Linked DNA regions of Diceros bicornis minor. The protein of the gene in region 2 binds, or shares a complex with, the protein of the main gene of each other region. Links are inferred from orthologs where the notes say so. Each region holds a gene or a part of one and is shown on either strand. Other genes may lie near its edges.

Evidence for each region. Proteins that work in one complex are often made in the same cells at the same time.
Region 1: EID3 (region 2) and NSMCE1 share a complex: the UniProt entries of both Homo sapiens proteins name them as parts of the SMC5-SMC6 complex. The link is inferred for Diceros bicornis minor from reciprocal best matches to the Homo sapiens genes EID3 and NSMCE1.

The regions. Positions count from the first base shown.
Region 1 is NC_080765.1:23,115,759-23,122,996, reverse strand, and holds the start of NSMCE1 (non-structural maintenance of chromosomes element 1 homolog), read right to left. Parts: upstream 3,093-7,238; 5' UTR 3,013-3,092; intron 1-3,012. UniProt on the Homo sapiens protein: RING-type zinc finger-containing E3 ubiquitin ligase that assembles with melanoma antigen protein (MAGE) to catalyze the direct transfer of ubiquitin from E2 ubiquitin-conjugating enzyme to a specific substrate.
Region 2 is NC_080764.1:19,518,978-19,526,400, reverse strand, and holds the start of EID3 (EP300-interacting inhibitor of differentiation 3), read left to right. Parts: upstream 1-4,344; 5' UTR 4,345-4,438; coding exon 4,439-5,551; 3' UTR 5,552-7,423. UniProt on the Homo sapiens protein: Tissue-specific component of the SMC5-SMC6 complex, a complex involved in repair of DNA double-strand breaks by homologous recombination.

The DNA of each region.
Region 1 (7,238 bases), on a different chromosome or scaffold from region 2:
ATCCAATGTTATATGTCAATAATATCTCATGAAAGCTGGGGGGGATCAATCAATGTGAGTCACCACATTAACAGAATAAAGAAGAAAAAGCATACAATCATCTTAACAGATGCAGCAAATACAGTTGACAAAACCCAACATTTAATTCGTACTAAAAACTCTTAACAAACTTGGAATAGAAGGCAACTTCCATTATCTACTAAATGACATCTACAAAAACCCAGAGCAAACATACTTAAGGATGAAATGTTGAAAGCAATCATTTTAAAATCCAAATTGATCCAATGCAACTGAATCAATGCAATTCCTATCAAAATCCCAACAGGCTTTGTGTGTCTGTTTGTGATTTGACAAGACAATTCTAAAACTTACATGGAAAGTGTAAAGGCAAAACAGCAAAGGCCTTCTTGGAGAAGATAAAGGCAGAGGACTTGTCCTAACTCATTCTAAAGCTAGGGTAACGAATAAAGTCTGGTAATGGTATAGAAATGGACACACAAGACCAATGGAACAGAACAGAGAACTCAGAAATGTATGCATATGTAGATACTTGACATGTTGGAGAAATGGAACTCCATTTCAAAGCAAACTTTTCAATAAAATGTGCCAGAACAACTGATTATCCATATGTGAAAAAAATATATATAAAACTAGACCCTTTCTTTACACTATGCACAAAAATCTATTCTTGAGGATTAAGGTCACAAGAAAGGAAACAGGACAAAACTTTTGGACAACAATATAGGAGAATATCTTTACGATCCCAAGGTAACGAGGGATTTCTTAAAAAGACAAAAAAATTCCAAACCATAAAGGAATATCAGTAAATTCAACTTTGTTAAAATTAAGAACCTCTGTTCACCAAAAATACCAGAGAGTGAGAGAGAGAAGACAAGCTACAAACTGGAAGGTATCTGAAAAACATTTAAGCCACAAAAGATTCATATTCAGAACATATAAAGAACTCCTACAAATCAGTAAGGGGAGGACAACCATAAGAGAAAAATGAGCAGCAGAAATTTCACATACAGGATACACAAATGATTAATAAATACAGAAAAAGATGCTCAATCTCAATTTCATCAGGCAACTGAGTATTCAAACCACAGTGATTAATGTCTTACCCATCACCAGATAGGCAAAAATTCTTGAGAATGGCTGAGCCCGCAACTTTCATCCACTGCTGGTAGAGTATAATCTCTTACAACCACTTGAGACAATTTGATATTACTAGCAAATTTGGATATCCCCAGAAATCCACTACTAGGTATATAACTTAGAGAAACTTTTCCACATTTGCCCCAGGAAATATATTTGTAAAAGCACCATGTAATAGCAAAAATCTGGGAACAGTATAAATGACGATCAACTGAAGAATGCCTACATAAAGCACTTATAGTCATACCATGGAATTCAAAACAGCAACGAAGATGAAGAAGAGCTACTCACATCAACATGGGTGCATCTCATGTACATAACCTTATGTGCAAAAATCAAGTCACACAAAATATATACTAGGATCCTATTTATACAAAATTCAAAACCTAGCAAAACTGTACATTGCACTCATCAGAGATACAGGGCGAGTAAAAACTACAAAGAAAAACAAGGGAATGAGTAACCCAACATGCAGGGCAGAGGCTATCTTCAGCGAGGGGAGACAGGATTCTGTGGGGCTTTGAGGATAGACAATGTTCTATTTCTTAACTTGGTGGTGGGTATATGGGTGTTCATTCTAATTCTTCAAACTTACATTTTCACACATTTTTATCGGCATGTTATGTATCTTGATAAAAAATAAGAAAATGATATAAATATGTTAAGTAACAGCCAAAATAAATGTCAGTAAGAACACCGTATAGAACACTCTAATTTGGGGACAAGAGAAGGGAAATAGCGTGAAAGATACAGATAGGCTTGTTAATGCATAGAAGTCAGTTGTCTTTATGAAGAGGGCCAGGGTAGGAGAGACTGACCATGGACATGTATTGTCTACTCAAATAACCATAAAATAGAAATGTTTATGGAATAAGCAAATCTCAATCATAATCGTTTGAGCTATGTGCTAGATGCAGTGTTAGTGCTTCACATGCACAGTTGCATTTAATCCTCATCAGAACCTTATGAGGAAAGCATTACTGACCCCATTTTACAGACGAGGAAACTGAGGCTGAGAGAGCACAAGGTGACACACAGTTAGTGATGGAAATAGCCAGTGGCCATACAAAAGCAGAGTTCAGGAACCGTGGCACCTCCAGTCCAGAGAAGCGAGAAATACGAGTGAACAGTACAATTATGATCCAGGTCCCTTATCTGCAATTTTCAAATCTAAAAAGGTCTGCAAACCACGTCTTTCAAGTTTGAAAACCTGATCTGACCTAACGTGAGGCTATTTATGGCTGTTCTTTATCCCCTTTCGTGTAAATGTGCACGTATGTAGCTGCGGAAATATTAATGTATTTGATTCCAGGATGCTGCCCTAGACCCCACGGAAGGCATGACATAACGGAGCATATATGCACCATTTTACCTTTCGAAAATTCGAGAAATTTGGGATTCTGCACACATCTAGCCTCAGGGCTTTAAAATAAGAGGCTGTGGACTTGAACAAAGTAATTAAGTTCTGCACACAAAATAGGGGTGAAGCACAGAGGAGGGCGAGAGTAACTGAGAGTGGGGTCAGCGAAGGCCATAGTTACGTACTGTTTTGATAACATTTTGTATTTTGATTTTTCAACTCCGATGATTAAAAGTACTTTTTCACCTAAGATTACGATTTTAAAATGTCTGTGTGCGTGAGGGACTCGGTGCCAGCCCACCTGCCTCTGCCGCCCGTCTTCGGGCCTCAGTTTCCCCACCAGGAAATGCGAAGTCCGGAGCCCCCGGGCCCCAGCGCCACACTCCTGCCCAGCACGCGGCAGGCCCCGGGGCCTGACCCCCGCCTCCGTCCTCCCCTCTCATGCCCGGACAACACTCCCCCTCCCCATCAGCCCCGCGCCCCGGGGTACCCACCGAGGCCCCCAAACGCAGCCCACACGGTCCCAAGCGACGGCAGAAAAGCGGCCTCGGCTCCTCCTTCGGGGCGGGGCGAAGGCGGACGCGGTGCTCCCATTGGTGGCCGTCGCAGGTTCGTCCCGCCCACCAGTGACGCACTTCCTGTTCGCCGGCCCGCGCGGTTGCCATGGTGTCGCAGAGTCTGTTGGTGAGGTCCGGGGTTACGAGCTTTCCGCGCCGCTCTCGGTACCTTACCGGGAAGGGCTTCTCCTTGTCGCCTGCCGCTTCCTGGCCCGCGGTGGCGCCCGGCGACCCGAGAGAAGAAGGGCAGGAGTGCAGCGTGCCCCCCCACCCCGGGCCGCGATCCCACGGGCACAAGCTAGTGCCTCAATTTCCCCATCTGTAGAACTGACAGTGTGACCTCAAGGTCAAGAATGAGGGTCTGTTGTCACACAGCCTGAGCTAGAATCCTGGCTCTGCCACTTGCTAGTTGCCGGAAATTGGGCAATTCCTGAGCTGCGCAGAGCCTCAGTTTCTTCTTCTGTTAAATGCGGATAATCACAATCCCTATGAAGTAGTGTGTTCGTCAGGTTTAAAAGGTAACGCGCGTGGAAATGCTGATTGAATGTTAGCTAGTCTTACCTAGGGATTGTTGTGAGAAGTAACCGAAGTTACCAATAGAAGTGAAGGGACTGTTTTTGAGTCTCCAGGGCACTCCTTTTACAAACATTTGTACTCCAGTCTCGTCTGAGAGCTGGGTATGCAGTCTAGCAGGGGAAATAGGTAGCTAATTATAGGGACAGTAGAAAGTGCAAGTATCTATCTCTGTGATGAAAGTTTCAAACCCCTACTCGGCGGGTTACCACTCCTGTGAGCTTGGACAATTTCTCAACCTCTCTGGACCTCAGTTTCCTCCTCTGCTGATGGGGAAAGCAGTAGAGTGTAAGGGTTAAAGGCTTGAGCTCCTGAGCTGGACCATGTGGATTTGCATCCTGGTGCTTAAACTCAGTATCTCTGAGACCCAGCACAAGGTATTGAAGCTCTCTGCCTCAGTTTGCTCATCTATAAAGCAGAGATAATAATAGCACATTGTTGATAAGATTAAATGAGTTAATACATGCAAACCACTTAGAAGAGTGGCACATAGTAAGCCCTCAATAAGTGTGAGTTACCATTCTAATAAAGTACTTTATAAAATGCCTTAGGGGGCAGGCAAATAAGAGAAGAACATCCCTAAGGAGGACCATCCATGTTTTGTTTGCCCTGCACAGTTTTATAACGTTTTGAATTCATTATCAATATTTAAAGTTGAGGCATTTCACATAAAACCCTAGGGTATTTGACAGCTCTTGAAAAATGAGGCAATCTGGTGACAATCAGCCAGCATTCTCCCACTTGATCAGAGCTTAGTAAAGACTATGCCCCTTTGTAACAAAATGTGTGCTTGCCTACTGTGTAGTGAAATAAAAACTGAGGACCACGAATAGAAAAAGCCGGGACACTGACATGTCAGGATCAAAGGGCCAAGAAAGGAGGTAGAAAGAAAAGAAAGGGATTCAAGATTGGGTGGTATCGGAGGCAAACAGGTAGGAGAGAGTGTTGAGAAGCAGAGTGTGGTCTGAGTTGTCAGTGCTCTGGGGAGGTCAAGAAAGACATGCCACCGATTTGGAATTTGATGGCTGGTAAGAGCCCATAGAGACAGAGGAAGCTAGATCAGCCTCCAAGAGGAGTGAATGCAGGGAAGCCGAGGGAGTGGAGAACGAGTGCTGACTGCTTCTAGGAAGGATGGTTTGGGAAGGCTAGATGTGAAGACTTGGGAACAAAGGGAGTAATCAATAGAATAAAAACAGGAGACAGGAGAGGACGAAGTCGAGGGCATATGGAGACAGGATTACTTTTATCCTAGACAGAAAGAGAGACACTTCTGAAACAGGAGGAAAGGAGGCGAAATGGGATAAAGGCTCACCCCTGATGTTTTCTATTTTCTCTGTAAAGTAGCAAAGTATCATTCTGCTGAATAAAGTGGCCAGGGAGATGCTAGGGGATTTGAAGGGAGTCAAGAGGTTTGGAACAGATGCGAAAGTGAGGTTCTGGCTAAGGCTGAAACCATCAATGTGTAGAGAGGACAGTCGCTCACCTGATCCCCCCACAATCTCCCATCCCCATGCCAGGGGCCTCAGAGCAGAAGCTTGGTGTGGATTCATCCTGGGGTGGGGCTTGGTTGGGCACATGCAGCTGTGGCTAGAAGGCAAAGCAACTGGAGAGCGTTGGTGGGAGGGTCTTTGAAGTGACCCGTGGTGGTATGGGCAGGCAGGGATAGGAAGTAGGGACGGTGCTGAGAAATTAGCATGGAGGGATACAGCAACCAGAGGTCTCAGGGAGGTGGATCGGGCTCAGTAGGAGCAAGTAGTGAGTAAAGACTGGAGTTCATGACTCTACCCTCAGAAGACAGCCCATTCTCTAGTTGGTTCAGTGAGTATCTATTAGGACCTTTGATGTGGCAGATATTGGACTGCCTGCGACAGACAACTTTGACAGTTCAAACGTTCTTCTGAAAGTTGACCCTGAAAGGTACAAGAGCTATGTGGACATAAATTTGTTGTACATAAGGGAGGTGGCTGAGGCCTTGGCTAGAGAGGAAGCCTGAGGCCAAATCATAGGCTAAAGGGGTTGGTCTTTCACCTGAAGACCATAGACGCTATCAGAGAGGAAGTGATGGGATCAGGTTTGTCTTTTAGAAAAAGAACATCAGCACCTACGTTCTTTTCAAACATACTTGAAACATTTACAGAAATTGACTATGTACTGGCCACAAAGGAAGCCTCAGTGAATTCCAAAGAATCTATAGACCACTGTCACGAACCGCAACGAAGTAAAATTAAAAGTCAACAACAAAAAGAGAGCCAAAAGGAAACCCATACAACTCACAGAATACACCTTAAGTTAGTAACTGCAGTTGCTTCTAAGGAGGGGCCAGGAAGACAGTATGATTTGTTTTTTATCATGTACATCTATTACTTATGAAAAATAAAAAAATTAAAAGCATACATTTGAGTCTTATTTCTTAAGCTAGGTGTTCATTATTTTAATTTTAGATCTTTTTTATGTTAAAAGATTTTATAATACATTTTTTTGTGTGTGTGTGTGAGGAGATCAGCCCTGAGCTAACATCCGCCAATCCTCCTCCTTTTTTGCTGAGGAAGACGGCCCTGGGCTAACATCGGTGCCTATCTTCCTCCACTTTATATGGGACGCCGCCACAGCATGGCTTACCAAGCAGTGCCTCGGTGCGCGCCCGGGATCCGAACCAGCGACCCCGGGCCGCCACAGCGGAGCGCGCGCACTTAACCGCTTGCGCCACCGGGCCGGCCCCTATAATACATTTTTAAAAGAAAAAGAACATACCTTTTGGAAACTGAAAAATACGTACGCATGAAAAAGAAAACCAATATAGAAATTACAAAATATTTAGAAATGAATGACAATAAAAGCCTGCCATAACAAAACTTGTGGGATCCAACCAAAACAATAACCAGAGGGGAATTTATAGCCTGAAGTGTACCTATTACAAAATAAGAAAACAAAATTTAAGTGTTCAATTTAAGATGTAGAAAAATAACTAAATAAGCCCAGAGAAAACAGAAGGAAGGAAATAACAATAAAGCAAAAAGCAGAGATAAGTAAAATGAAAAACGAAAGAAAATGGAAACCTAAAGTTGGTGTTCTGTTAAAGACTAATAAAATAGACAAATTTTATTTGATCAAGAAAATGACACAAACAATATTATGAATGACAAAGGAAACATACCAGAATAAAAATGTTAGAAAGCATAAGAGTATACTAGGAACAACTTTATGCCAATACATTTGAAAACCTACATAAAAGGGGTAATTTTTGACAAAAATACATATAAAACTTGGCCCAAGAAGAAAAGTAGACAAATATCCATCAATGAGATTGAAAAGGTAGCAGAACTTCTTCTGCTCCAGCTCCCCAAATGCCTAGGCCAAGACAGTTTTACTGGAGTGATACACACAAAAAATGCAAAACCCAAAAAAACAAAACTATATCATGCAAACTGCACAGGAATATGAACAAGACAGAGAAATCCAACACATTCTGTGAAACTATTCTAATCTTGATACCAAAACGAGAACAGCAGAATTAAAGAAAATGCCAAGTCTGTCTATATCACAAACGGATGCAAAAATTGAGTTTCCCAGGGGATCAAAAGACTGTATCT
Region 2 (7,423 bases):
AAAAAAAAAAATAAAGTACTAGTTTTGATTTGAACCCAGGCCTCCAGAGCTGAGGTCAAGGCTGCCTCCTTAAAAAGCCACATACCCAGGGCTTTTCTACTCCTAGTCTATCAAGACGATGCTCCTGGTCATTGCCAACTTCTGAGGTATCCCAAGAGTTGATAATTGTTCCTATAACCTGAAAGGTTTTATTCTCCTCATCTCATACCCTTGTTTATGTTAGTTCTTGAGGCTTGGCAAGTCAGCCAGCACTGGGTTTTCTGAAGTGTCAGTTAAGTGTATAACTTGACCACAGAGCAAGGGCGGAGGTTTTATATACTTTAAAGTATTTCAGTCTGTGGGTTCAAATTATTTTGTGGGACTTGACTTTCATTTTATTTTTCTTCACTAATAAAGCCATCTTATTTGACTAGCACACATAGGCAAAGCCTCTTTTAGATACTACTGGGTTTTTTAAAGAATCTGTTGAAATCCAAGGAGCTATTCATGAAAAAAATATACATAAGTAATTTTACATACAATCTCAGACTCTTTGTTGACTTGCTTCAGAATATCTAGAAGAGAAGTCTACCCTTCAAAGTGCTGTACACATTTCCATTAGTTGAAGCCTTAGTAGATTTATTTTATTATATGGTAAATTTCTTTTCACTGGTATTTGTTATAGCGGGATATATTTCTGTATTCCTCCTTATGGATTTAACCTTTAAAATGTTTTTCTTTTCCTAAAACAACATCCAGAAGTGATGCTACTGGTTTGTATACATTTTTTTTCTATTTACTGTCTAATGTTGATTAAACATTTACTATCTTTGAGATAATTTAAGATTTAATAAGTACTTAATAGTTGAAAATATTTCAGATCTATCACATAATTCTTATTCAGTACTTAAAGTACCTTTGTGATGTGAGTAGTTGTAGTCCCATCTATCAAATGAGGAAACTGGAAGCTGAGAGGGTAAGTAATCTGCCTAAGATAAAACTGATAGCTAATAGATCAAGATTGGAACCCAAGTTTGCCTCCTTACGCTGTCCATTTTCAGAAACTCATTTAAAAAACACACAGATATCTGCCTTGATCATAGCAAAGTTTACCTTTAATACTAAAAAACCAAACAAAGCAAAAATATACACACAAACATAACTTTAAAGGAAATTAAGATGAGAAAGAAAATATACCTAACATCCTGCTAATCTGACAGATCAAACCAGGACTTTTTACCATGTTTCTTCACAACTCAGTATTAAATAGATACGCTGACAGGATGAGGGGGGTAAAACTCTTGTGAAAGAAGGAAAGTTTAGGGAGGTAGCTAATAGCAAGATAAGTCTATCTGTTAGAGTGCAGGACTCAGACTTGGCTGGGTTGCTGGCTTTGGCTCAGAAGTCTCTTCAACATCTGTTATAGATTGATCCTGCAGTTAAAACCCTGCTGGAAAAGATAGTGGACCCTATGTGAATTCTTTTTTTATTTGACCATACAGAGACTTGTAACTTACGACACCCATCCCACCATGTTTGTGGTGAGCACTAGGGGTTATGGGAAAGAGCTTAAGAATGCTTGGAATGAATGAATCTGAACTCTTAGCAAAGGGACTGAAAAATAACATAGGAGAAAAAACTGAAGAACAGAAGAGAAGAAATGGAGGACCATACTGAGCCCTTGGCAACAACTCCTGAAAGAGGAAAAAAGGGGAGGAGAGGAGCTAAATTATCTTGAAGGCCAAGCTGTATATCTTGGTTACCTGAACTAGTCTTACTGCATGAAGGTACATCTTAGTGATTTCTTTGAAGAAGTAGTACACTTTGCTTTCTGTAACAAGTCATAGAGAAGTTTACCAGTATAACCGAAATTCTGTATTGCTGTTCCTTCTTTTTTTATTGAGGTCACATTGGTTTCTAACATTATATAAATATTCCTTCTTTTTAAGCTGCATTTATATAATTATTACTAGTAATTGGACCTTAGGTTATAACATCTCTGTTTAGTGATTAAAGGATTCATAAGTGTAGAAATCTCATTCTTTAAATGATTGGGGAAAATCATTAGACTTGAGATTTTTGCTTTGCAGCGACATCTAAACCTTGTGCTCTAAAGGCAGATTTTAAAAGGCAAAATACAGTGCATGCATGACTTTCTGAGGACGATCTAAGTTACATGTTACTAAGGTTCTTAGGGACAGGGATCTAGCATAGAATGAATTCAGCGCTGGAAATTGCAATTTAGAAATATGATGCTTGTCTTGATGTGTTCTGTTGCTCTGAGCAAGTTGTGTAGGCCATTATCACCTGAGAAATCCCTGTAAATGGCATTAGTAATACTTTATAAGTAGGTTGGGAGAATTAATTTATTTTTCTAAAGCATTTTGAAATCCTTAGATGAAAGGGTCTGTATGGAGCAAATTGGTATCAGCCTGTTTTCCTTTCTCTGAGCCAGGAGAAAATAAGTACCTTAGGGTGGGAAGGTTGGCTTGTCTTTTAAAGTTCTTTTATAAATTGCTTTTATTGAATATGAAGTGGATATTAGAAGCTCCCAAGAATATGGTTAATTATAAAAGCAAACTTTTTTGGATTTGGGACTTAGAATTAACTGTGTATTTTCATCCAAGATTTAAAACAGGTTTAAATATTAGTTTGTAGTTGGCCAGACTTGGAGGGAAAATATGGCCCTTTGATGATCCTGGGTCCCAACTTTGTTTTCCTCCTGCTTTTTCTTTATTTCAGAGAAGGGATAAGGCTGACTTTCTGAAAAGCAGTTAACTTTTATTTTCGATTGTAGGATCTATTTCTTCCACTAATCTATGAAATTAATCTTTTGCTGCCAAATAACTTGCAATAGGTGCTGGGACAAAGTTTTTCATCTACATTCATTTATACATTCAAATATGCATACTCAAATGCCTCCATGTGAAAACAGCTTTGCTTGGAATATTTAAAACCAAGTTCTTGCTGTAGAGAAGCTAACAGTCTAATAGGCAGGATAATATCTATGTACAAGTAACCATAGTGCATGGTGTTTTTGAAAAATGTATGTTTCTTCCTGAATTACCCCTACTTAAAAAAAAATGGTGGACGACTAGTAATGTAAATATTTTGGAGTGACTTAATACTGTTTTGCTGTTCATGCATTTGTGAAAAGCTTTCTGCTAATGTCAGAGAATAATGAACAGTCTACATGCATAGCAAGGAAGGGAAGGGGAAACTCGAGTTGACAGGTGCAGTTTTGCCGTCTCTTGTCTCTCTGTCTCTGTCACAGGGGCACCTGTTGCAGTGGTTAAAAGCTTTTGATCTTGTGGGTTCAGAGTGTGCCTCTCGTTAAAAACAAAATGTATTCCTTTCCATTGTTACATATACTTTGCTACTTGTGTGACTGATCAGCTGACCCCTTTCTCCAACTGTACAAGAATTTTCAGTGAACTAGGTAGTGGGTGAATTTCCAATGAACTAGGTAGTGGGTGCATTTTCCAACCTAGATTAGTTACCTGATTTATACATCCTTATTCGCTTTCATATTCCTTAGAACAGATTTGTGTTTAAAATCTTCATAGCTTTGCTCACCTTTTAGGGTTCGGATTTACTATCCATTTAGTCTTTGGCCTTTAGCCGTTGGGAAGCTTCCAAATAGACAGCTCTTTTGCAGAAACCGTACCCAGTTTATTCCATCCTTGAGTGGTGGAGAACCAAAGATCACTTGAATAATACGCCCCACCCTTCGCACATGCGCTGGAAGAGACGCATCCCCAAGACGGGCCCTCCCTCCCACTATGGGGTAGTTTGGAGGGGATTTGGCTTTTGAGGGCCCCCGAAGGTAAGTGTGCATTTGTATATTGAAGAATGAGTTCCAAACAACCACCTTGCAAATGAACCCTGCGAGTTCGGCCGATTTGTAATGGAGGTTCTGCGTTTCACAGTCCTTGGCTTTACGGGCAGTTTGTAATCTAGCCAGATTTAGTTCTCAAAAAAACAAAAACAAAAAGACACCCCACCTTTTAATCATATTAAGAACGAAAAATGGAGGTCGACCTAGTGGCAAGATGACAGCGAATGTTTTAGAGCGCAGGACCTTTAGTCTCCCCGCAATTTTGTCATAACGTTGTCCATCTGTTTCTTTGAAAGCTACATGACACTGTTCGTAAACGCTAAAATAATAGCTGTTGCTTGAACGGATACTCGGCGTTGGGACCCATTATTGCGCGCGTTCTGTGCGCGGCCGCGGGCTCGTTCGCGAACGCGGGGCCTGGGGTCTGCGGCGCAGCGGGCGGCAGCCGGCGGGAGGTGGAGCGAGCTGGGGGCGGGAGCGGGGGCGGGAGCAGGGGCGGGCCTCCGGGCCGCGCCGCCAGTGCGCATGGGCGGACGCCCTCCGCTCTAACTGACCTCCTCACTTTCTGCTGTTGTGGGAAACGTAGCGAAAGCCGTTAGCTGAGCATCAGCAGTTGTCGACATGTTTGATGAGAAAGACTCTCTGAAGGAGGGCGTGGAGAAAAAAGAGGAGCCGGTGGTGAGCATCACTGGTAGCGCGTACTCTGTGAAGCAGGCGGAGGAGGACGGAGAACCGATGAAGGTGGAAGCGCTGGGGCCTGATTGCTGCTCTGACGACCTCGGCTGTGGGGATGCCGCCATAAAACCAAACCTCCTAGGGCTCGAGGCTGACGAGGAGAAATGCCGGAATATCCGCAAGCAGTACCGGCAGCTCATCTATAACGTGCAGCAGAATCGTGATGACATAGTGAACAGAGCGAGCAACTCATTAACCGAGGCTCTTGAGGAAGCCAATGTCCTGTTTGATGGAGTGAGCCGAACAAGGGAAGCAGCCCTCGATGCCCAGTTTCTTGTTTTGGCTTCTGATTTGGGTAAAGAAAAAGCAAAGCAGCTAAACTCTAATACGAGCTTTTTTAATCAAGTAGCGTTTTGTGACTTTCTGTTTATATTTGTGGGTCTAAACTGGATGGAAGAGGATGAACATGATGAGTTGGGTGGCTGTGATGATAATATAGCTCTTTCCTTCTGGGAGACAGTACAAAAGGAAGCAACATCCTGGATAGTGCGAGCTGAAACATTCCACTTTATTTTTGGTTCGTTCAAGTCAGAGCCTTCTGCACCAAAGCCCCGGCTTGACCACCAGAAAAAAGTTCACAAAATGGAAGAAAACGGGGATATGCCTACAAAGCTGAGGAAGTTGGACCTGAATGGTAATCAAGAAGCGACAGAAAAAGAAGTGGAAAGAATCTTGGGATTGTTGCAAATGTACTTTCGAAAGTATCCTGATACTCCTGTGTCCTATTTTGAATTTGTGGTTGATCCAAACTCTTTTTCTCGTACTGTGGAGAATATATTTTATGTTTCTTTCATTATAAGGGATGGTTTTGCAAGAATAAGGCTTGACCAAGACAGGCTGCCAATATTAGAGCCAATTAATATTAACCAAATGGGTGAGGGAAATGATCCCAGTTCCCATGGCAGGAAACAAGGAGTTATATCTTTGAGTTTACAGGACTGGAAAAATATTGTGGCAACTTTTGAAATTTCAGAGGCTATGATCACAAACTCATACTAAAGATTTTTGTTCTTAGTATAGGATGCGTTTTCTGGCTTTTCTAATGTATTTCAAAATGAAGAGTAAAATCTGAACAGAAGCACATATTGTATCTCTTGGAAAGTGAAAAAGTATTTTCAAGAACGTCAGAAATTATTTTACTGTGCAGTGTATTTTTCTTGGTAGTTTGGTCTTCTGTTATTAAAAAAATGCACTGGCATGTTCATGAGAAAAATTTTTTGAATGCCTTTTAAGACTTAATAAAAATCCATTCTGAATTTCATAAATTACAAAGTATTTGGTAATTTGCCAAAAAATCACTTAGGATGTTCTGTGATATTACATTGCTTCCTCTTTTATAGGGAACCAAGGGAATCCCATATGGGGCTCCTAACCAGGTTGGGGGAAGAGTGAGTGAAAAAAATGGTCAAGAAAGACTAACCATAGGGCAGTGAATCTGCAATGTTGAGTGTAAAAAAAATTTAGATGCCATATACTTCTTTACAAAGAGGAGTCAGTAAGATTAATGAGTGGATATCTATAGTCTAAATAATTTCTCGTGATGGAACTCAACAAAGGTAGTGTGTCTCTACTGTAGTAGGTGAGGTGTTAATTAAGTGCTGAAAGCTGAGTAGGAATTGGTTAAAGACAGGAGAGGTGTTCTAGGCAGGGGAGTATGGAATTGGGAAAAGTTATGGCACCAGAGAACCATAAGATTTTTAAGAAAACTATTCCATTTCAATGTTAAACTGGGCAAAAATTGAATTAACTCGTATTTTAGTATTCTCAGAGGTAGAAAATATTTTTGTCAGATTATTTCAAACAAAATCTTTTGACATCCAGTTATAGTCTTTATCTACTTGGGTAGTTTCTTTGCTGGCTTCTTGTTTCCCTTGGTAGCTTCTGCTAGTACACAGAGTGTTGTTCAGAATCAGTGATGTTTCATTGTGTGACAGCCTTGACTATTTGTTCTCCATTCGATTTTCCATTTCTTAATAGGGCTTTAAATGCCTGGAAACCGTCCCTGTTTAAACTGAAATATATGACTAATTTATCCAAATGTTCTTCAATTCATATAAAGCCATGAAGGCTTTTTTTTCTTTTTGTTGCTTGCAGTTGTTTTAAGAGTATAAATTACAGCCTTATTTGGAGGTTACTGCCAAAAATTTGGATCTTTAAGAAAACAGTTTCCGAAGGTGCAGTGAGCATGCCTAGAAGCTTCTTTTCTTGATCCCTCTAGGAACTTAATTGTTGGTAGGAGTGGATTTTTACCATTAAACTGGTAAGTGGATAAGTATCTGTTTTGCATAGCAGTAATGATAAACTTTCCTGCTAAGTCAAGTGGGATGTAAAGGGAAGGGAAATCCAAAGACAGAACGAATGACATCAAGATTGAGAGGAGAGATCTTATATATGTGTGGGGAAGGTTCTTCACCAGTAATAGTGGAGGTTTTTAGCAAAGAGAGAAATTTCTCATGAAACTTGGCCAGTTATTTCCTAGTCGTTCCTTCCCCTTTATCGTGTGAAGGAGTGCTAACCTTCGCGGTGTCTACCACCACCCTTTGATTTAGCAGTCATGGAAGCATCGTTTGGTTTCTCTGATCCTCACTTAGCATGTCTCTACCAGCTGAGTTCCTTGGGTTTTCCAGAGGTTTGCTGTTTGAGGAAATAGTACTCTTAATGATAGCAAAAAGGTGTTGCCTCAGTTCCTTACTCACCCCCAGCTTGCTCTGTTAAATGCCTAGTGTCTTTACTAGGATATTTGAAACTTAGTGATGATTAAAAGCATTAATAGATAATCTGGAGGTTTGTGGAGACAGTAGTTTTTTAGGTCTTCTCTAAAGTTATAGCTGTTAAAATATAAATCAAGTATCTCTTGTTTCTATTTTTACT